Linked DNA regions of Oryctolagus cuniculus. Each later gene encodes a partner of the first gene's protein in a complex. Links are inferred from orthologs where the notes say so. Each region holds a gene or a part of one and is shown in the gene's direction. Other genes may lie near its edges. The genes, in order: GTF2F1, CTDP1, GTF2E2, ERCC3 and POLR2D.

Region 1 (3,910 bases):
CATCCTTTGGTTCTCTCCTCAAATGGCCCCAGTGGCTGGGGCTGGGCCAGGCCAAAGCCAGGAGCCAAGAACACCATCTCTGCCACCTGGGTGGCAGAGACCCAAGTCCTTGGGTCCTCTGCTGCCTTCCCAGGAGCATTTGCGGGCAGCTGGATCAGAGGTGGAGCAGCCGGGACTGGAACTGGAGCGTGTGTGTGGCCACAGGGCTGGGCCCCGCCTCCCTGGGGCCTCTGCGGTGACACAGGCCACAGATGCATCTGCAGGTGTCCCCGGCGCCCCCTACTCCATTTCCTGTCCCTGGATCTGACTGCCCCAGGGACCTCCCAGGAGTGCAGTCGGGGAGGTTTGACCTCGTGTCTCCCACTGCGCCCGTTTCAAGGTCCACCCACATGGTAGTGAGTGTCACGGCTTCTCTCTCACCCTGAACGAGTGCCCAAAGACGCAGGGCGGGGAAAGCACCCGCAGCCCCTGTGGGAGCGCCTGGCTCTGAGCCCTGGCCCTGGCTCCCGATGCCGGCTTCCGGCCAATGCACGCCCTGGGGAGCAGCGGCGAGGGCTTAGCAGGCTGGGAGCCACGTGGGAGACCTGCATTGAGTCCTGGGCTGCTGGCTTTGGCCGGGCTTCTTGCAGGCACCTGGGGAGTGACCCAGCGGGTGGCAGCTGTCTCGGCCTCTGAAATAAAGGGAAAGCTTTTTGTTAAAGGCTCCCGTTCATGATATACAAAGACAGACTGGGGGGGGGGGGGGGGCGCTGTGAGTGGACGCTGGGCTGGAGAGGGCTTCAGGGGTAAGGCAGCTCTCCCAGGCGGGGTCAGGGCGCCCCGAGTCCCTGGGGGCGCCCTCGTCACCCAGCAGCCCCTCTGCCCGCAGGAGGAACAAGGTGCTGAACCACTTCAGCATCATGCAGCAGCGGCGGCTCAAGGACCAGGACCAGGACGAGGGCGAGGGCGAGAAGGAGAAAGGCGGCCACAAGAAGGCCAGCGAGCTGCGCATCCACGACCTGGAGGACGACCTGGAGATGTCGTCGGACGACAGCGAGGCCAGCGGCGAGGAGGGTGCGGCTGGGGCGAGGGCTGAGTGGGTGCGGGCGCCCCCAGGAGAGCTTAGCGGTAGCTGGCTGTTGGCCCAGCCAGGGGCAGAACGCGTCCTCCTCCCAGGCTGGACCAGGCTGCAGCCAGGAACCTACCCAGTCACTTAGCAGGCAGTGAGGGCAGGGGCCGGAGCCCGGACTTGAGGCCAGGCAAGCGGACGTGAGATGCGGGCACTCTGGGCCCCGTGGCCGCCCCGGGGTTGGCCAGTTTGAATGAGCCTGGTGGACACCGGGCTCTGGGGGCCGTCCTACTCGTCAGCACGTGGGCCTGGTGCGTGTGCGGGTGTGTGCATCACAGGAAGGGGGCTTGGGTTGTGGGCCCGGCCTGGGCGGTCGCCAGGAGGCGGTGCGCTCCTAGCAGGCCCTCGTCGTCTGGAGGGTGGGTGCAGTGGCCCCCGTCAGCGCATCGTCAACCAGGAAGCCCAGGACGGCCCGTGGCCTGAGCCCTTCCTCCCCCGCCCCCGCCCCCGCAGGCAGCAGAGCCCCCAAGGCCAAGAAGAAGGGGCCGCTGACCAAGGCGGGCAGGAAGAAGAAGAAGAAGAAGGGCTCCGATGACGAGGCCTTCGAGGACAGCGACGACGGGGACTTCGAGGGCCAGGAGGTGGACTACATGTCCGACGGCTCCAGGTGAGCAGGGGAGGCCGGTGACCCCCGCAAGCCCCCACGCCGCTCGCAGACCCGCCCACTCACCCCTGCCGCCGTGTCTTGCAGCAGCTCCCAGGACGAGGCTGAGGGCAAGCCCAAAGTGCCGCAGCCGGAGGAGGGGCCCAAGGGTAGGCGGCGCCCGGGGTGGGGGCGGGAGGGGGGGCGCGCTGGGCGGCCCCCTGCTCACAGCCACCCCTCCCCCAGGGGTCGACGAGCAGAGCGAGAGCAGTGAGGAGAGTGAGGAGGAGAAGCCGCCCGAGGAGGACAGGGAGGAGGAGGAAGAGAAGAAAGCCCCCACCCCACAGGAGAAGAAGCGCCGGAAAGGTGGGGCCCTCCCAGGCCTCCCCCGTGCGCGGTGGGCGGGCGGGCGGCGCGAGCAGGGGTCTCGGGTGCACGAAAGGTGGGGCCCCTCGCAGGCCGCCCCCGTGGGCTGTGGGGCGGGCGCCCGCAGGGGTCTCGCGTGTAGGACAGGTGGGGGCCATCCCAGGCCTCCCCCGTGCGCGGTGGGCGGGCGCGCAGGGGTCCCGCGCCGCTCTGGGCCTGACTCCCGACCACCGGCCCTGCAGACAGCAGCGACGAGTCGGACAGCTCCGAGGACAGCGACATCGACAGCGAGGCCTCCTCTGCCCTCTTCATGGCTGTAAGACGCAGGCGTGGCGGGGGCCGGGGTGGGCCGGGGCTGGGGCGTCTGTGAGCGTTCTCACACCCTGCCCCCGCCCCCGCAGAAGAAGAAGACCCCCCCCAAGAGGGAGCGGAAGCCGTCGGGAGGCAGCTCACGCGGCAACAGCCGCCCCGGCACGCCCAGCACGGAGGGCGGCGGCGCCTCGTCCACGCTGCGGGCGGCGGCCAGCAAGCTGGAGCAAGGTGGGTACCGGGCCGCTCTGCCCGGCCCTGGGTCAGAACCTGCCCTCTCTGGGCCCGGGCCCCACCCGCCCGAGGCTCAGCCCCGACCCCATCCCATCCCACAGGGAAGCGGCCGAGTGAGACGCCGGCGGCCAAGCGCTTGCGGCTCGACGCGGGGCCCCAGAACCTGTCTGGAAAGTCGACCCCCCAGCCGTCCTCGGGGAAGTCCACGCCCAGCGGCGGGTACGTGGGCGAGCGGGGCGGGGGCGGGCAGGGGCGGGGGGCGGTGCGGGGCCGCGGGGACCCGCTCACAGGCGCCCGCCCGCCGCCCCGCAGGGACGTGCAGGTGACGGAGGACGCCGTGCGCCGCTACCTGACGCGGAAGCCCATGACCACCAAGGACCTGCTGAAGAAGTTCCAGACCAAGAAGACGGGGCTGAGCAGCGAGCAGACGGTGAACGTGCTGGCCCAGATCCTGAAGCGGCTCAACCCCGAGCGCAAGCTCATCAGCGACAAGATGCACTTCTCCCTCAAGGAGTGAGGCCGCAATAAACGCGCGCTGGCCTGGCGTGTCGTGTCGTGTCGTGTCGTGTCGTCCCGCTGTGCCGGGGACAGCCTCCGTGCTGGGAGCCAGCCCATCTCCACCCGCGCACCACCCCCATGACCCCTGAGCGCGTCCTTAGTGGAGCGAGTGGTGCTGACTCGGCGCTCTGTCGGCTGCTGTCTGTGCGGTCCGTCTCCCATGCTGCCCCGCGGGCGGGTGTGGGCACCTGCGCAATCTGAATGAAGTTCACAGGCGGGCAGACGGCCTTCGGGACTGTTGATTTATAATGAGATTTGTTTATTTGAAAGGCAGAGTTAGAGCTGCCGTCCGCTCGTTCGTCCCCCAAATGGCTGCAATGGCCGGGAGCCAGGAACGCCACCCGGGTCTCCCACATGGGTGGGGACCCCACGTCCTCAGACCATCTGCTGCCTCCCCAGGCAGAGCGGTTGGGATGCCGGCGCCCTGGCCACGCGGCCCCTGTGACGGGGCCTGGACAGGGCGCCAGGGTCGTCGGGGATGGCCTTGGCTCCCCGCAGCTGCCCAGGGAGCGCCGTCGCCGGACCCCTACCCCCTCTCGCTGCTGGCCTGGGCTTTTGAGCGCTTCTTTCTACCCAGGGAGCTCTCCGGGGTCCCGATTTTCTGCCCCTGTGGTGGTTTTCTCAGGCAGGCATCACCACGGGCTCTGGCCAGGGGGATGGGACGGTCAGAGCGCTGGGCTGATACCATGGCCGGAAACGGGATTTGGCTGCAGCCGCTGCTGCTGAGCCTGGTTCCCGGTGACCCGGCCCGG
Region 2 (4,050 bases), on another chromosome or scaffold:
CTCTGTCGCTCAGAACTCTGTCCTAGCCCAAGGCCTAACCGGTCCCCTTGTCTTGTTTTTGTACTTCGTGGTTGACTTTTTTTTTAGTGTAGACATCTTAGTAAATTGAGATTTCCTTGTTTTAGTAGAAGTCGCACACGGTTAGCCCCTGATGTGAGCTGTCTGTCCGGGGCAGCCTGTGGATTCCCACTGCGCCTGTGCTGGGACCTCCCTCCTGCTGCCGTGCAGTGAGGTGGGAGCGAGTCCACTTGTCAGATCACACTGCCACGCGGACGTCACCGACAGGCAAACAGCCCCGCAGCCGCCTGTCCCTGCAGCCACGCTGTGGTCTGCGTGTGTGTGACGGGGCCGTCTCGGGGTCGCGCAGGCCGGCGCGAGTTCATTCCTTACGCATCTTTCTGCTTCCCTGGGCATGCATTACGTATCTGCACTTGCTCATTTCCTCCGCTTTGCCCATCTGAGTCCCCGGCTGCGGGCAGACCACGTGTTCCTCGTGTGTGCTCGTCTGACGCTTGGTGGGATGTGTGGCCCTCGGCAGGGGCTGTCACGTCGCTCTCCTGCAGTGTCCGGTGCTGTGGGTGCTGGCCTCTGTCTCGGGAGACTTCGGGGTCCTTCCCTTGTCCTCAGCGTCGTGAGGGGCCTGGGCCCTGCACGCGAGCTCGGTGCTGACCACAGCGGACGTGGTTCCCTAAGCCCACAGGTGTCCTGGAGGAGGGTGACTCTTAGACGAGAGCACACACCCCTGGCAGGGAGGGGAGCAGGAGCAGGGCCAGGTGGGGCGCCCAGTGGTGCCCAGCGGCGCCCACCGGCATCGCCTGAACATTTCCCCTCACGGTGGACCAGTTCCTGGGCCCCAGGTCCGATGGGTGGCACGGGCAGGTGGGAGCCGGCACAGCTGCTCAGGTCAGCCCTGCGTGGGCACTGGCTGCTTCGAGTGAACCCCGAGGGTAAAGGACGGCCCTGACGGGAAGCACAGCCCGAAACGCGGCCCCCAGGCGCTGAGCGCACCACTCGTGTCCTGGCCATGCCCAGGGCCGCGGGGGCCCGCGTTCTCTCCAGTGGACTCATGCTTCGGTGGTGGCTGGCAGAAGGCGACTGAAGTGTGGCGAGGTCTCCCGGGCCTGTTCCTGCAGCGCTGGAGAAGTGAGGACCTCACGCGTTAGTTAGGAGCTGGCAGGAGCAGCAGAGCTTGTGGGCGGGGCTCTTCCCGGGGTGGGGGGCACGGCGGTGACCTCGTAGGGGAAGCCTCGCTGTCCCAGCATGAGGACCTGTGGGCAGGGCTCTTCCCCGGGGGGCGGCGGTGGTGAGTGGTGACCTCGTAGGGGAAGCCTCGCCGTCCCAGCATGAGGACCTGTGGGAGGGGCTCTTCCCGGGGAGGGGGGGGCACAGCGGTGACCTCCTAGGGGAAGCCTGTTCTCACTGTCTCCTGCATGCCGTTTAAAATGACTCTCCAGGCTTTACGTGCTCTGTGCATGGCCTTGCAGCTGTGTGAACGCATGAGGTGAATTCCACGCGGTGCCGCGCATGGGGCAGCCCTGGCGGTCACGTCACAGCCTGGCTCTCCCTGGGCTTGCAGCTCACGTCTGGCTTCCGAGACGATTTTCCTGACCGAAACTCAGGCAGGAGGAGAGGCGCTGTCAGCCGAGCTCTTTCTGCACGTCACACATGCCACGAGGCTGGGCGGGGGGCGGGCTGACGTCACGAGGCTGTGGCGGTGGGTGGGCTGACGTCGCGAGGCTGGGGCGGGGGGCGGGCTGACGTCGCGAGGCTGTGGCGGTGGGATGGGGGGCCACACTCTGAGAGCCGCCGCTGCCCTGTGTCCAGCGTGAGTCGTTCCTCTGACTTGGCCGTCACTGCGGAGACCCCGGACCTGGGTCTGTGTCCTCTCTGGGTCACTGCTGCTCTGCATACGGCCTGAGCACCTCCCAGGGGCCTCACCCGTGGGCTTCTAGGACGCAGGGGAGAGCGTGTGGCTGCTGGCCGCTGCCCGGTTCCAGTCTTCCCTGATGCACTGGACAGAGCTGAGTCCTGCACCCCCTCCTGGTGCACACGCGTGTGCACACACAGAGCCACCTGACCGCCTGCTGTGCTCACCTCACTCCACCTGTGCCTCCTCCCCTCGGGTCCTCAAGCCCCACACGGACCTGCTTCCACCTGGCCAGGCCAGCGGCTCTCAGAGCGTGCCCCCCCCCCCTTCTGCCCACTTCCTGCCGCTGCGTTTCGGAGCTGCATTGCGGCCACGCGGCAGCAAGTGAGAAGGGACTCCCTTCCAGGCAACTCCGGTGTCCTTGGGTCTGGCCGCCAGGGCTGCCTTGTGAGTGGCAGCCTCCTCCCTCTGGCTGGGGGGAAGGGATCGTGCGTAAGTCTCACGTTTTGCACAGCTAGGAAGCGGCTGGCTGGGTTTCGTGGATCTGACCAAGGACTTGTAGAAAAGACACTTCTCGTCATCAAACATCTTGGAAGCGAGTGTTGATGAGGGCCAGTCTGTCACCTGAGGGTAGGGCAGCTGATGGCAGAACACGTGACCGAGTTGCAGTGCTGGTTGTGGCCAGCCTGGGCCGGGGCAGAGCCCTGGGGAGGAGTGGGCGCTCCCCGGGGTCAGGACCCAGCCTGGCAGGGCTGTGCGGTACACACTGCTTGCACACAGAAGTGTGCAAAACGCTCAGCAGTGAGGGTGTTCCCAGAGCTCCTGTCCCATCAGAAAACCAGGCTGGGCTGCGTGTGTGTGCGTGTGTGTGTGTGTGCACGTGTGTGCGTGACTGCTCTGGGCTGCGTGTGTGTATGTGCGTGCGTGACTGCTCTGGGCTGCGTTGTGTGCGCATGTGTGTGCGTGCATGTGTGACAGCTCTGTGCTGCGTTTGTGTGTGCGTGCGTGACTGCTCTGGGCTGCGTGTGTGTGTGCGTGTGAGCATGTGTGCATGACTGCTCAGTGGCGTGTAGTTTATTGTTGTTGTCAGTGGAGTGAACAATGAAAAACTAGAAATTAGATTGACTTCTAAAAAAAATGATTTGTGTGACTGAAAGGCAGAGTTACAGAGAGAGCGAGATCTTCCACCCGCTGGTTCACTCCCCAGATGGCCACAGTGGGCAGGGCTGGGCCAGGACAGCCGGGAGCCCCCCAGGCCTCCCACGTTGGGGCAGGGGCAGGGCTGGGCCAGGACGGCCGGGAGCCCCCCAGGCCTCCCACACAGGGGCAGGGGCAGGGCTGGGCCAGGACGGCCGGGAGCCCTCCGGGTCGCCCACACAGGGGCAGGGGCCCAGCGCTTGGACGGCTCCCACTGCCCCCCAGCTGCATCTGCAGGTGCTGGATCGGACGTGGAGCAGCCGGACTGGACCCAGCGCCCACGTGGGGTGCAGGCAGCTCGGCGCACTGGGCCACCCGCCGTGTGCCGGGCGCGAGCCTCACCCCACTCTCCTTCTCCTCAGAGGCCACAAGAGGAAGCTGAGTGAGGACGGCACTGCCAGCGACTCCAGCAGGGAGTCGAGCGACGCGGACGGGGAGGGCAGCAGCTCGGAGGCGGACGAGATGGCCGCGGCCCTGGAGGCGGAGCTCAGCGACCTGGTGTGATGCGGGGCGCGTCCTCGCCAGGGCCCGCCCCTCGGGTCCGTTTCCTCACAAAGACATATTTTGCAGAGCTCCATGTAAACACATTATTTTGCAGAAATTGGTGTTTTTAAGAAGTTTTACTACAAATTACAGGAAAATCTACTTTTTTAAGTGAGAGGGCGTTGAAGGTGTCCCCGTGCCCAGCCCCAGGGCTCCACAGAGCCTGCCTTGGATGGGGGGCGGGGGTGGGGCCCCGTGCAGAGCCAGGCCTCGTGCCCCGCATGCCTGCGGCTGGGGGAGCGCGCGGGGTCTGCGGCGACGCCCTGGGGAGAGGCCGGACGCAGGGGCCCCATCTGAGTGGCACGGCCCCCTACGGGGTCCCTGCTGCAGCCAGGCTGCCCTCGACGTGTCCTGCCTGGGTGGCCTTGTGCTCCTGTGAGACCGATGTAAAGTTTTGTATATCTTTTCATATTGGATCCACCACGCAGATCTTTCTCTCATTT
Region 3 (3,727 bases), on another chromosome or scaffold:
GTTCCAATTGGACATGATCTCTTTTGGTTAAAAAAAGGTGACGTTGACGGAGGGGCCGTGGGTGTCCAAGGAGAAGATGTAGGCCAGGTGGCAGCCCTCCTCCTTTGTTTTATGGGAGTGGAGGGTGAGGCTGTTTTCCTCCGCTTTCTCCCCTTTCCACTGTCATGTCCTCCCAGTCTCCAGTCCCCAGACTGATTTCAACTGTTTTTCCCAAACTGTTGAAGTGTCTCACTTCCATATAAAACTTTGTTCTGTCTCCCTCTGTTTCAATAATTGTTATTAGTGGGAGAGGAAATGGAGTAAACTGAGCTCAGTTGAACTGAACTGTTTGCCCAAAAGGAAAAGAATAAAAGGAGAGTGCTGACTGCCTTTCCTCCCCAGGAAAGCAGGGAGGCCTCAGGCACATCGCCCTCCCTTACTGGCCTCTAAAAATAGATGGCAATGACGTGGTCTGCGCTGGTGCTGCTCTGTTCCCAGGCCCTTCTGCTGCTCAGTGTCCAGCTCTGGAATGTTCTTGCCTTGCCTCTTTGTTTTTCTAATGAAATCTCAGATGTGCTAATTTAGACCCAAAAGAGATAATAATGAAGCCTGGATTTTGATCACTTCAATGTAATCATTTGTAAAAATGGATTGTAAAATAACTATTCTCTTGTTGGTACAGAATTTCAGAAACTCTGGAGGAGTGTCACTGTGGATTCAATGGATGAGGAGAAAATTGAAGAATATCTGAAGCGACAGGGTATTTCTTCCATGCAGGAATCTGGACCAAAGAAAGTGGTGTGTAATCTCTGGAAAAGCCATCCAACCTTCCTCCTCTGCATTGTTACCCTGCTTCCTGTAGTTGTCTCTGTCCTGCGATTTGCTCAGATGCCATTCAGCACATGTCTGCCTTGCAGACCCGTGGACATGCCCCTGGCTGCTGCCCCTCAGGCCCGGCCTCCCTGCAGCATCCCCTGCTGTTTGTAGGCCCCAGCATCGTCCACTGTTTCCCCTCCTACCCTCAGCACGCGTCCCCTGCCTTCTGTGAGGAGCCTGCTCTTCATCTGCTTGGGCTTCAAGACCTCAGTTGTGCTCCCCTCCCCCTTGCTCCCTGAGCCTCATGGTCTTGGTTCCCGGCTCTGTCATGGCCTTGATCACACTGAATTGTCCCTGTTGATCTTTGAGTCTCTCGGGAATCATATTTTGGTCTTTATAGCGCCTAAGTCCTGCTCATCAGAGACCTTAGTAACCAAATGACAACTCGAAAATCGTCTTGTGCCAGCTAACTGCAGGCTCTATGTAGTCCAGGAACAAAGCCAGCTTGGAGAATAACCCACCAGCACCCTTGACTGTGGCTACTCTGCCTCTCTCCTCAGGCCCTAGGCCCCCATCGTACTTTGTAGCTTGTCTGTGGCTTTGTGGGGTGTGTGTTATTCAGTGAGCATTCAGAACTCAGAAATGGAAGATTGACTGCCGGTAATTTCTCCAAGAAGCAGTGTCATTGCAGCCCTTCATGAGTTCCGATCACTGCTTAATTTGTGGACTTAACAATTTTTTTTTCATTTAATGATGCAGAACACTAATGCTGACTTGACATATTCATATATAATTTTTTCTCTCACATTAACAATTCAACAGAATAATCGAGAGGAAAAGCTAAACACCATATGCAGTATACTCTGATACTGGAATTTAAAAAGTTTATTCCAATCCATTTTTTTTTCTATACTAAAAAAAAAAAACTTTGTTAACATTGATGAGGTAGATCCACAGGAACACGGTGGTGCCCAAGGGCAGCCCAGTGTTCAACCGGTCAGGTTTGTCATTTGGCCCCTCCTGCACGTAGAATTTTGACCATGCTGAAGAATGCTGGGGAGCGTGGCGGGGCCAGCAGCCATGAGAGAGGGCACAGTAACGCGGATGGCGCCATTTTGCTGGGCTGGCTGTTGATTTCTTTTTATTATGTGATTGATGTTAACGTTTCTAATATACAGAAAAGAATGGAGAATAACATTAAAAGCCCTTGTGTGTCCACCCATCACCCAAGTTTGCCATATCAGGATCTTATCATATTTGATTTTTTTTTAAGTGGTGATAGTGGATTTATTTGTAAGCCCGATAACAGACAAATGACAGTTTCACTGACTCTCTCTTACTGACTTGGTGCCTGCAGGAAGGTTTTTGTGCCAGCCTGCTCATTCCTAGGGAGGTTTGCATCGCATCTCTTGAACAAAAATCCCGGGTCTGGCTCAGGTTGGGTTGTGGGCTGTGCATTGGCATATGGGATGCTGGGCTCCAGGGCAGGGAGAAAGTTCCAGACCCTTCCTCCTCTGCTGTTGGGTTCTATGCTTAGGAAACCCTGACCATCGTACCCTTTGGAGTAGCTGCTTGTTTCTAACTATTCTTACCTTTTCCTTTAGGCACCCATTCAGAGAAGGAAAAAGCCTGCTTCGCAGAAAAAGCGACGATTTAAGACTCATAATGAGCACTTGGCCGGCGTGCTGAAGGATTACTCTGACATTACTCCTGGCAAATAGGGACAGGTTTGTCCTTGAACAGAGGACCGATACACATCAAGGTTGTTCTGGTCAATGCTTGGGCTCCGAAGACTCACTGTCCTCCATTCTGCTTCCTAGGGCTGAGGAGAGGAGCAGCTCAGTTTACAGAACAGGTGCAAATTACCAGCCTCACACTCAAGCTCACTGGGCAGGCTAACGAGAAATGTGATGTTCCCTGTAACCTCCAGTTACGTTTTAGGGGGAAGGCACTGTGCGTGGCATGCAGGTGTCTTTGCTGTTTGTCTGCTTCTACAAGGTTCCTGGTTCCATTTTCCCTTGTTTATTACTTTAGAGCAGATTGACAGGTAGTCTTGAATGCGATATTTGTTTATTCCGAAAGAACATATTTATAATAAAATAATTGTAGAAGGATTTTAAAGATGTTAGTGAATTCAGCTTGTTTCCTTTGATTTCTGGAAATGGCAGGCAGCAGTGCCGGCCTGGCTTCCAGGGCGCCTGTCTGGGGTTTGTGAAGATGGAACTCTGCACTGTGTGCTGAGCATGTGGGTCTCATAGTCAGAACACAAGGTGTTTCTCCTGTAGCAAGTTAAGCAATAAAGATGCACTAAATGTCCTTGTTCATGTTTTCTTTTAAAAGTTTAGCCTCTTTCTTCTGGTGGAGAGCCCCCTGTTCCCCTGGCACTTCCCCGCTTGTGAGCAATATCAAGGCTGTATGGGTTCTCAGGAGTTAGGGTGACTTACAGGAAATTGATGGGATCGTTCCTGCCTTCTGTGGCAAACCATTTTCAGATGATTTGCTGAGATCTTTTCATTGATTATCTCAGATCCCATGTCACAGACTAAGTTGTAGTGAAGTGTAAAGACAAAATCTCATGTTTCAGAAAGTAGTTAAGATTCCCTTTGGGGTGCCTACACTGCATATTGGAGTATTGGGTTCAGTTCCTGGCTCCAGCTTCCTGTCAGTGCAGACCCTGAGAGTCAGTGATGTAGTGGCCTAAGGATGTTGGGTTTGTGCCAGCTCACATGGGACTTAGAGTGAGTTCTCAGCTCCTGGCTTTGACCTGGCCCTGCCTGGCCATTGTAGGGATTTAGGGAATAAAATAGCAGATGGGCTTCCTTTTTTTCTCTGTTAAAAAAGGTGGTGTGATGGTAGGTGCTTTGTGCAGACAAGGAACCTTGTTTTGCTGTCTTAGTTCTTACCTGTTTACAGTGTCATCTATCTGATTTAC
Region 4 (4,050 bases), on another chromosome or scaffold:
TGCCACCACCAAAATGTGTTCTGGATCCAGATAGAAGGTGATATTAGTGTAGTCTGGTACCTTTTGGCTGGTTTTTCTCAAATTGCTGTCTTCGGCACAGCTGCCTTCCCAGAGTGAAGGACATTGGTGGCTGTTCCCTCTACAGTCATCCGTTGCTCCTGGACTGCCTAGGCCAGGCAGTTACTGTGTGGGTCATGATGCTGGTAGGTACCTCGGCAGTTGGGAAAGAAAGGAGCAAGGATGGGATTTTAATACCAAAGTAGAGGTGTGTTCTTTACTGTCAGAATGTCATGGCGAGGCTAACTCAGTAGACGGAGCTACAAGTGTGTGTGTGTGCATGTACACACATCTGTATCCGTTTCTCATCTGTCTGTGCACATTAAAAACCACGAGCTCCACAGATTGTATTCTTTTAAAAGATTTATTTATTTATTTGAAAGAGTTACACAGAGAGAGGAGAGGCAGAGAGAGAGAGAGAGAGAGAGAGAGAGAGGTCTTCCTCCCATGGTTCACTCCCCAGTTGGCCACAACGGCCAGAGCTGTGCCGTCCGAAGCAGGAGCCAGGAGCTTCTTGGCGGGTCTCCCACGTGGTGCAGGGGCCCAAGGACTTGGGCCATCTTCTACTGCTCTCCCAGGCCATAGCAGAGAGCTGGATCAGAAGAGGAGCACCTGGGACTAGAATCAGCGCACATATGTGATGCTGGTGCTTCAGGCCAGGGCGTTAACCCACTGCGCCCCAGCACCGGCCCCCACAAATTGTATTCTAACTTTCCCTGTTTATAATTCCTTTCTCAGACAGTGAGAAACTTGGCTTCCATTATCCATGAAAGTTCACTTACTTATTAGTTTGGACCTATGATATACACAAAGGAATTTTAGAATTGCTAACCAATACCATTTAGAAAAACAAAACTGTAGTTCAGTATCTGGTGTAAAATTAGTTCCCTGGGTATAACTATTTAAAAATAGGTGTTAAATGATGGGCACATGAGAGTGTCCAGTTCAGTGTTAGATTTGATTTTGTGCATGCATGGACTTGTTGTTGTGTTGAAATCATAATTCATATACCGTTGGTTTTGCTTTTAGAAGATGAACGGGCTTTAAAAGTTTACAGTTGTGTGATGTTTAAACCTGTAAAATGATCCTTGATTCTTAATGCATCACAGGTTTGGTGCCCAATGTCACCCGAATTTTACCGGGAGTATGTGGCAATCAAAACCAAGAAACGAATCTTGCTGTACACCATGAACCCCAACAAGTTCAGGGCTTGTCAGTTTCTGATCAAGTTTCATGAAAGGAGGAATGACAAGATTATTGTGTTTGCTGACAACGTGTTTGCTCTGAAGGAGTACGCCATTCGGCTGAACAAGTAAGCCCTGAAAGCTTCGTTTTCCTCACCGAGAATACACAAGGCGACTGCCTTGATCCTTGAAGCTCTTGGGAACTTCTTGGATTCTAAAGCTCTGTCACTGCTCTCAGGACCCAGGCAAGACAGAGAAGCAGGTGATCAGAGATGGAGGTTAGAGCAGAGAGGCAAGAGGGACTGGTCCCCTCCAGCCCAGAGAGCAGGGGTCAGAGTTGTGCGTAGCTGGGAGAGCTGCTTCCTCACATCTGGGCTCCAAAGCTGCATGAGGTTGGCTTCTGGAGTTTCAGGCTGGGAGAATGCTATGGGCAATGATGAGGCCATACTGTCTGGGCAAGGAGCTGGATGGCAAAGGGGGCTGGGCCAGCATCCCAGGTGTGGACTGGCATCCAAGAACTTCTCAGTAACACCCAGCATGCTCATCAGCCCATAGCCCCACCCCAGTGCGTGTGCTTCAACCTAGCTGTGGCCAAGTTCCTGCCACATGAAGAGGAAGAGGCTTCCCCAGATGGTGATGCCGGGCCGCAGGTGCTGCGTCGGAGTAGGCAAAGTGCTCCGTGGACACAGGCCATGATGCTTTTTGTGAGGGCAGCAAGGGGTGAATGAATATAGACCAGCTTCTCCTTAGCAAGCTGGATGCTGGGCATACTGTACGTATGTTTTATTTATTCCTCATCTCAGCCATACCAGGAGGTATTCCCATTTTATACGAAGGAAAACACAGGCTTAGAAAGATTGAATTTCTGGGGTGGGCTTTTAGCAAGGTGGTTAACACTGTGGGATGCCTGCATCCCATATTGGACAGAGAACCCTCATCTGCTAGTTCACTATCAAAATGCCTCAGACAGCAGGGGTTTGGCCGGGGTTTGGCCAGGCTGAAGCCAGGAACTGAAACTCAGTCTAAGACTCCCAGGTGAGTGACAGGGACTCAAGTACTTGATCATCTCCTGCTGTCTCCCAGGGTGCACATGAGCAGGAAGCTGGAATTGGAAGCAGAGCTAGGACTTGAACTCAGGCGCTCTGATATGGGATGCAGGTGTCCCAACCCAGTGTCTAAACCACAAGGTTCAACGCCTGCCCCTGGTTGCTTTTGCTAGGTTTGCATATACAATGATTCCTCCTTTCCATACTCTTCACGTAACCGTAAATTCCCTTTGAGCAGGGTCAGGTAACCCCTCAGTTCTGGTTTTCTCTGTCCAGTGGAATCCCCACCAGCACTCCACCCTCCTGCTCTGCTCTGGCCTGGCTATCATCATGGGGCTTCCCTTGGAAATCACCCCATGAATTCCCTGGGCCCCTATTTCTTCATCTCAAGTCTGTACTCTTCTCTTGGTCACTCATTGGATGGAGCACATGCCCCATTAGATTCTTGAGAGGAGGGATGCTGGAGGGAAAGTTTGTAAGACTGAATGTTCACAAGTGCCTTTACAGAACTTTGCATCTGATCAGCAAGTTGACTGGGCCTTGGAAGCAATATTGAAGCTTGCAGTGAGGCTGCTTGGAAGTCTGGTGCTCTCTGGTTTCTTTCTCTGTGACTGGTAGTGGTGCTTGTCTGTTTTCCTTCTTTCAGGAGGTGATTTTTTGGAGATTTCAATCAATCCTAAGTCTAGGATGGTCTTTTTTCTTTCACTATGATAGGTACTGAAGCCCCTTGTTTTCCCCTTTTTAATAATAAAAATAAAATCTATGAAATTTTTGTTTATTTTTACTTAAGAGGCAGGGAGGGAGAGGGAGAGGGAGAGGTGGGGGGAGAGAGAGAGAGAGAGAGAGAGAGAGAGAGAAAGAGCGCACTTCCACTCTTCACTCTCCAAGTGCCTGCAACATCAAGGGCTGGGTCAGGCTGAAACCAGGAGCCAGGAAATTCCCGAGGCATCCCTAGTGGGTAACAAGAACCCATGTACTGGCGCCATCAACTGTTGCCTCTGAGGGCGTGCATTAGCAGGAAGCTGGAATTAGAAGTGGAGCTGGTACTCAAACCCAGGCACTCGAATACAAGATGCAGGTAGGCATCCCAAGCAGTGTCCTTTTTTTTTTAGAATCTTTTTTTTGACAGGCAGAGTGGACAGTGAGAGAGAGAGAAAGGTTTTCCTTTTGCCGTTGGTTCACCCTCCAATGGCTGCCGCGGCTGGCGCACTGCGGCCGATGCACTGCGCTGATCCAAAGGCAGAAGCCAGGTGCTTCTCCTGGGCTCCCATGCGGGTGTAGGGCCCAAGCACTTGGGCCATCCTCCACTGCACTCCCAGGCCACAGCAGAGAGCTGGCCTGGAAGAGGGGCAACCGGGACAGAATCCGGCGCCCCAACCGGGACTAGAACCCGGTGTGCCGGCGCCGCAAGGAGAAGGATTAGCCTGTTGAGCCACGGCGCCGGCCCCCCCAAGCAATGTCTTAACCCCGGTACCAGATGCCTGTCCCACTCAGGCCCTCTGCATCTGGAATCTCGTGTCCTTCTGTTCTGAGAATTTCTGTTTCTTCTTTGTTTATCATCTTGTGTATGTTTTCTCTGTTCTTTCTTTTTGGAATCCCTTGTCAGATAATAGGTCTTCTGCTCAACTTGTCCAGTTTTTTAATATTTTTTCCTTTTTTTTTTTTTTTTAATCTTGTTGCTTTCTCTTTTTTTGAAGATTGATTTATTGAGTCTGGTCTGGTGGCCCAGCAGGTTAAGCTGCTGTCTGCAGTGCCTGCATCCC
Region 5 (4,050 bases), on another chromosome or scaffold:
GTATTAGTAGGAAGCTGGATGGGAAACAGAAGTGGCACTTTGATCCCTGGCAATCTGAGATGAGCTTCTGGCATCCCAAGCGGTGGCTTAACTTCCCTGCCAAAAGGCAGAGAGAGGAAGAGCTTCCATCTGCTGGTTCATTCCCCAAAAGCCTGCAACAATCAGGGCTAGACCTGGCTGAAGCCAGGAGCCTGAACCTCAATTTGGGTCTTCCATGTAGTGGCTGGGACCCAAATTCTTGATCCATCATCTACTACCTCCCAGGGTGTGCATTAGTAGGAAGCTGGAATTAGGAGCGGAGCCTGGGTTTGAACATAGGCACTCAGATAAGGGATGTGGGTGTCCCAAGTGGCTTCTTAAGTGCTGTGCCAAACGCTTGCCCCTGAAGGATTCTTCTCAGCTTACATTTGTGCCTCTGACAGAGTTTGAAACAGCTGAGACACTTCTAAATTCCGAGGTGCATATGCTTCTGGAGCATCGCAAGCAGCAGAACGAGAGTGCAGAGGATGAACAGGAACTCTCGGAGGTCTTCATGAAGACTTTGACCTACACAGCCCGTTTCAGTCGTTTCAAAAACAGAGAGACCATTGCCAGTGTCCGCAGGTGAGTGCTAAAAGAAAGTCTGTTAGTCCAACTTGTTGGACATCTACATGTGTAACATTGTTCACTCTTGCTTTTCCCAACATCATCTGTGAAGGTTTTTGTTTTTTTTTTTTTTTTTTTTTTTTTTAAGATTGATTTATTTAGGGGCCGGTGCTGTGCTGTAGCAGGTAAAGCCTCCACCTGCAGTGCTAACATCAATACTGGTGCCGGTTTCAGTTCCAGCTGCTTCACTTCCCATCCAGCTCTCTGCTAATGTGCCTGGGAAGGCAGTGGAAGATGGCCCAAATGCTTGGGCTCCTGCACCCATGTGGGAGACCCAGAAGAAGCTGCTGGCTCCTGGCTTCCAATTGGCCCAGTTCAGGATGTTGTAGCCATTTGGGGAGTGGACCAGAGGATGGAAGATTCTCTCTCTTTCTCTCTGCCTTTGCCTCTCCCTCTCTGTAACTCCACCTTTCAAATAAGATTTATTTTGTAACTAGAAAGGTGGAGTTACAGAGAGGGAGGGAGGGAGGGAGGGAGGGAGAGAGAGAGAGAGAGGTCTTCCATCTGCTGGTTGAGAGAGAGAGAGAGAGAGAGGTCTTCCATCTGCTGGTTTACTCCCCAAATGGCTGCAACGGCCAGGAATGGGCAAGATTGAAGCCAGGAGCTAGGAACTTTATCTGGGTCTCCCATATGGGTACTGGCGCCCAAACACTTGGGCCTTCTTCCGCTGCCTTCCCAGGCACATAAGCAGAGAGCTGAGTGAGAAATGGAGCAGCCAGGACTCAGAGCAGCATCTGTATGGGATGCTGGGCATTGCACGTGGTGGCTTGTGCTGCTATGCCATGACTCCAACCCCCGTGTGAATTTAATATAAGTAAAGTAACATCATTGTCAAAAAATTTTAATTGTTTATAAGGCCAAAATTATCTTGAGCCACCATCTTTTATACCTAAATCACAGTTTGATAGAATTTAAAGATTTTTAATTAAGCAGATTTACTTATTTTGTGCCTAAAACATCATAGAGATCTTTGCATGGTAATAAATGTAGATCCAGAACATTCTTTCTGGGAGACACAGTGAGGTGCTTGGGCTTAAAGGAGGCTATAGGAAAAACAGCTAGGCCAAATGCCTCCTCCACCCTGGTTTTTTTCTTATCAGAAAGCTGAAGATCATTTCTGAAACTAAATTTACCACAGATGAGCTCTATTTTAAGAGGCAGAGGTGGGGCAACTGCTGTGGCACAGCGGGTAAAGCTGCCGCTTGGGACACCTGCATCCCATATGGGCACCAGTTGGAGTCCCAGGTGCTCCACTTCGGTCCTGCTCTCTGCTAATGCTCTTGAGAAAGCAGTGGAGGATGGCCTTATTTCTTGGGTCCTTGCACCCACGTGGGAAGTTCCTGGAAGAAGTTCCTGGCTCCTGGGTTTGGATCTGCCCAGCTCCAGTGTTATGACCATTTGGGGAGTGAACCAGCAGATGGAAGATCTGTCTCTCAGTAACTCTGCCTTTCAAATAAATAAGTTTTTAAAAGAAAAAAAAAAGAGAAAAGAGGTAGAGTGATGAACATTCAAGACAGTATTTGTGCTGACAGTGTTCCAAACAGGACTTGTATGTTTACTGATTTATTTATTTACTTATTTGAAAGGCAGAGTTACAGAGAGACAGAGGCAGAGAGAGAGAGAGAGAGAGAGAGAGGTCTTCCATCCACTGGTTCACTCCCCAGATGGCTGCAATGGCCAGAGCTGGTCCAATCTGAAGCCAGGAGCCAGGAGTCTCTTCCTGGGTCTCCCATGGGGGTGCAGGGGCCCAGGGACTTGGGCCATCTTCCACTACTCTCCCAGGCCATAGCAGAGAGCTGAATCAGAAGTGGAGCAGCTGGAACTAGAATCAGTGCCTATATGGGATGCTGGCACTGCAGGTGGTGGCTTTTCCTGCTATACCACAGCACCGGCCTCTGTATGTTTAATTAAGATATGTTTCATACACCAGTATGCACAAAATAGGGTAGTCTGTATTCCTATTTAGATAAATTTTAAAGAGAATTTCCTCCCTGTCAAAATACCTATTAAATCGGGAACAGCTAACATTATGTGCTTAATGTAAAATTAAGAGGGGTGGGCGTTTGACCTATCAGTTAAGACGTTAGTTGGGATACTTGCCTTCCATATTGGAGTTCAGTCCCACTTTTTTTTTTTTTTTTTTTTTAAGATTTATTCATTTATTTGAAAGGCAGAGTTACATAGAGGCAGAGAGAGAGGTCTTCCATCTGCTGGTTCACTCTTCAAATGGTCGCAATGGCCAGAGCTGGGTTGATCAGGAGCCAGGAGCCTCCTCCAGGTCTCCCATGCAGGTGCAGAAACCCAAGGACCGGGCCATCTTCCACCACATTCCCAGGCCATAGCAGTGAGCTAAGCTAGATCCAAAGTGGAGCAGCCAGGACTCCCAACTGGCATCCATATAGGATACTGGCACTGTAGGCAGCAACCTCGCACTCTGTGCCACAGCACCAGCCCCCAGTCCCACTTTTAATTCCAGCTTCCTGCTAGTGTGCCCTCTGCAGAGCAGCAGGTCATGGCCCTAGTAGTTGATTTCTGTTACCATGTCACCACTGAGTTCCCAGCTCCCACCTTCCTTCTGGCTGTTGCATGTGAGGAGTGTACCACTGGACAGGAGTTCAATGCCTCTCTTTGTCTGGCTCTCAAATAAGTTAATTTCTTCAAAAAAATTTTTTTGAGATTGATTTATTAAAAGGGCAGAGAGGAAGAGACAGAAATTTTCCATTCACTGGTTCACCTCTCAAATGCCAACAATAGACAAGTCTGGGCCAAGCTTAACGCCAGGAGCCAGGAACCCTGGTCTCCTACCTGAGTTACAGGGACCTGAGTATTTGTACCATCTTCCACTGCCTTCCCAGGCATGTTAGCAGGAAGCTAGATCAGAAACAGAGCACCTAGGACTTAACCCAGTACTCCTTATGAGATGCCTGTGTCACAAGTGGTGGCTTAACCCACCGTGTCACAACGCTGGCCCCTCCCGATAAATAATTTTTTAAAAATTAGTAATATAAGAGTCAAAGAGGTATAGTAGAAAGAATAGTAACAAGAAAATAAATTTCTGGGCAAAAAGTGGTATCGTCTGAGGTATGAAGTAGTTTTTCACAGGTTGTGGCAGGTGCTCCTCTACCTGGTGTGTCTCCTCTCTTTCATCTCTGCCTAAGTTCACTGCAGCTTCCTGTTCTTTAGAGGCAGAAACAGGAAGTAATTTGAAAGTAGAATTCTGCAGCCCACATAACCGTAAAGAGAAGGTTGCAGATGCTTCACGTTTTCTCTTTGCTCCCCACAGTTTTTCTTGTTGATCATTCTTTGATTGGGTTGTTTTGTTTGGATTTTCCTCTCTATGACCAGCTTGCTGCTCCAGAAGAAGCTTCATAAGTTTGAGTTGGCCTGTTTAGCCAACCTTTGTCC

What was found.
Region 2: the proteins of GTF2F1 (region 1) and CTDP1 are in contact, whole or in part, in an NMR structure (PDB 1ONV), measured with the Homo sapiens proteins. The link is inferred for Oryctolagus cuniculus from reciprocal best matches to the Homo sapiens genes GTF2F1 and CTDP1. Residues at the interface, in NP_002087.2 of Homo sapiens: Thr470, Lys471, Leu474, Gln478, Ser486, Thr489, Val490, Leu493, Ala494, Leu497, Lys498, Leu500, Asn501, Pro502, Arg504, Met511, Phe513; in NP_004706.3 of Homo sapiens: Ala946, Asp947, Met949, Ala950, Lys951, Ala952, Leu953, Glu954, Glu956, Leu957, Asp959, Leu960, Met961.
Region 3: GTF2F1 (region 1) and GTF2E2 share a complex: the UniProt entries of both Homo sapiens proteins name them as parts of the TBP-based Pol II pre-initiation complex. The link is inferred for Oryctolagus cuniculus from reciprocal best matches to the Homo sapiens genes GTF2F1 and GTF2E2.
Region 4: GTF2F1 (region 1) and ERCC3 share a complex: the UniProt entries of both Homo sapiens proteins name them as parts of the TBP-based Pol II pre-initiation complex. The link is inferred for Oryctolagus cuniculus from reciprocal best matches to the Homo sapiens genes GTF2F1 and ERCC3.
Region 5: GTF2F1 (region 1) and POLR2D share a complex: the UniProt entries of both Homo sapiens proteins name them as parts of the TBP-based Pol II pre-initiation complex. The link is inferred for Oryctolagus cuniculus from reciprocal best matches to the Homo sapiens genes GTF2F1 and POLR2D.

What each region holds. Positions count from the first base shown.
Region 1 is NC_091447.1:60,702,873-60,706,782, reverse strand, and holds the end of GTF2F1 (general transcription factor IIF subunit 1), read left to right. Parts: intron 1-868; coding exon 869-1,053; intron 1,054-1,561; coding exon 1,562-1,715; intron 1,716-1,799; coding exon 1,800-1,861; intron 1,862-1,937; coding exon 1,938-2,057; intron 2,058-2,299; coding exon 2,300-2,373; intron 2,374-2,458; coding exon 2,459-2,597; intron 2,598-2,701; coding exon 2,702-2,819; intron 2,820-2,912; coding exon 2,913-3,117; 3' UTR 3,118-3,144; downstream 3,145-3,910. UniProt on the Homo sapiens protein: TFIIF is a general transcription initiation factor that binds to RNA polymerase II and helps to recruit it to the initiation complex in collaboration with TFIIB. It promotes transcription elongation.
Region 2 is NC_091441.1:431,363-435,412, reverse strand, and holds part of CTDP1 (RNA polymerase II subunit A C-terminal domain phosphatase), read left to right. Parts: intron 1-3,426; coding exon 3,427-3,568; 3' UTR 3,569-4,050. UniProt on the Homo sapiens protein: Processively dephosphorylates 'Ser-2' and 'Ser-5' of the heptad repeats YSPTSPS in the C-terminal domain of the largest RNA polymerase II subunit. This promotes the activity of RNA polymerase II.
Region 3 is NC_091433.1:80,603,741-80,607,467, reverse strand, and holds the end of GTF2E2 (transcription initiation factor IIE subunit beta), read left to right. Parts: intron 1-661; coding exon 662-777; intron 778-2,399; coding exon 2,400-2,516; 3' UTR 2,517-3,111; downstream 3,112-3,727. UniProt on the Homo sapiens protein: Recruits TFIIH to the initiation complex and stimulates the RNA polymerase II C-terminal domain kinase and DNA-dependent ATPase activities of TFIIH. Both TFIIH and TFIIE are required for promoter clearance by RNA polymerase.
Region 4 is NC_091434.1:122,300,704-122,304,753, forward strand, and holds part of ERCC3 (general transcription and DNA repair factor IIH helicase/translocase subunit XPB), read left to right. Parts: intron 1-1,166; coding exon 1,167-1,369; intron 1,370-4,050. UniProt on the Homo sapiens protein: ATP-dependent 3'-5' DNA helicase/translocase. Binds dsDNA rather than ssDNA, unzipping it in a translocase rather than classical helicase activity. Component of the general transcription and DNA repair factor IIH (TFIIH) core complex.
Region 5 is NC_091434.1:121,258,656-121,262,705, forward strand, and holds part of POLR2D (DNA-directed RNA polymerase II subunit RPB4), read left to right. Parts: intron 1-422; coding exon 423-603; intron 604-3,990; coding exon 3,991-4,050. UniProt on the Homo sapiens protein: Core component of RNA polymerase II (Pol II), a DNA-dependent RNA polymerase which synthesizes mRNA precursors and many functional non-coding RNAs using the four ribonucleoside triphosphates as substrates.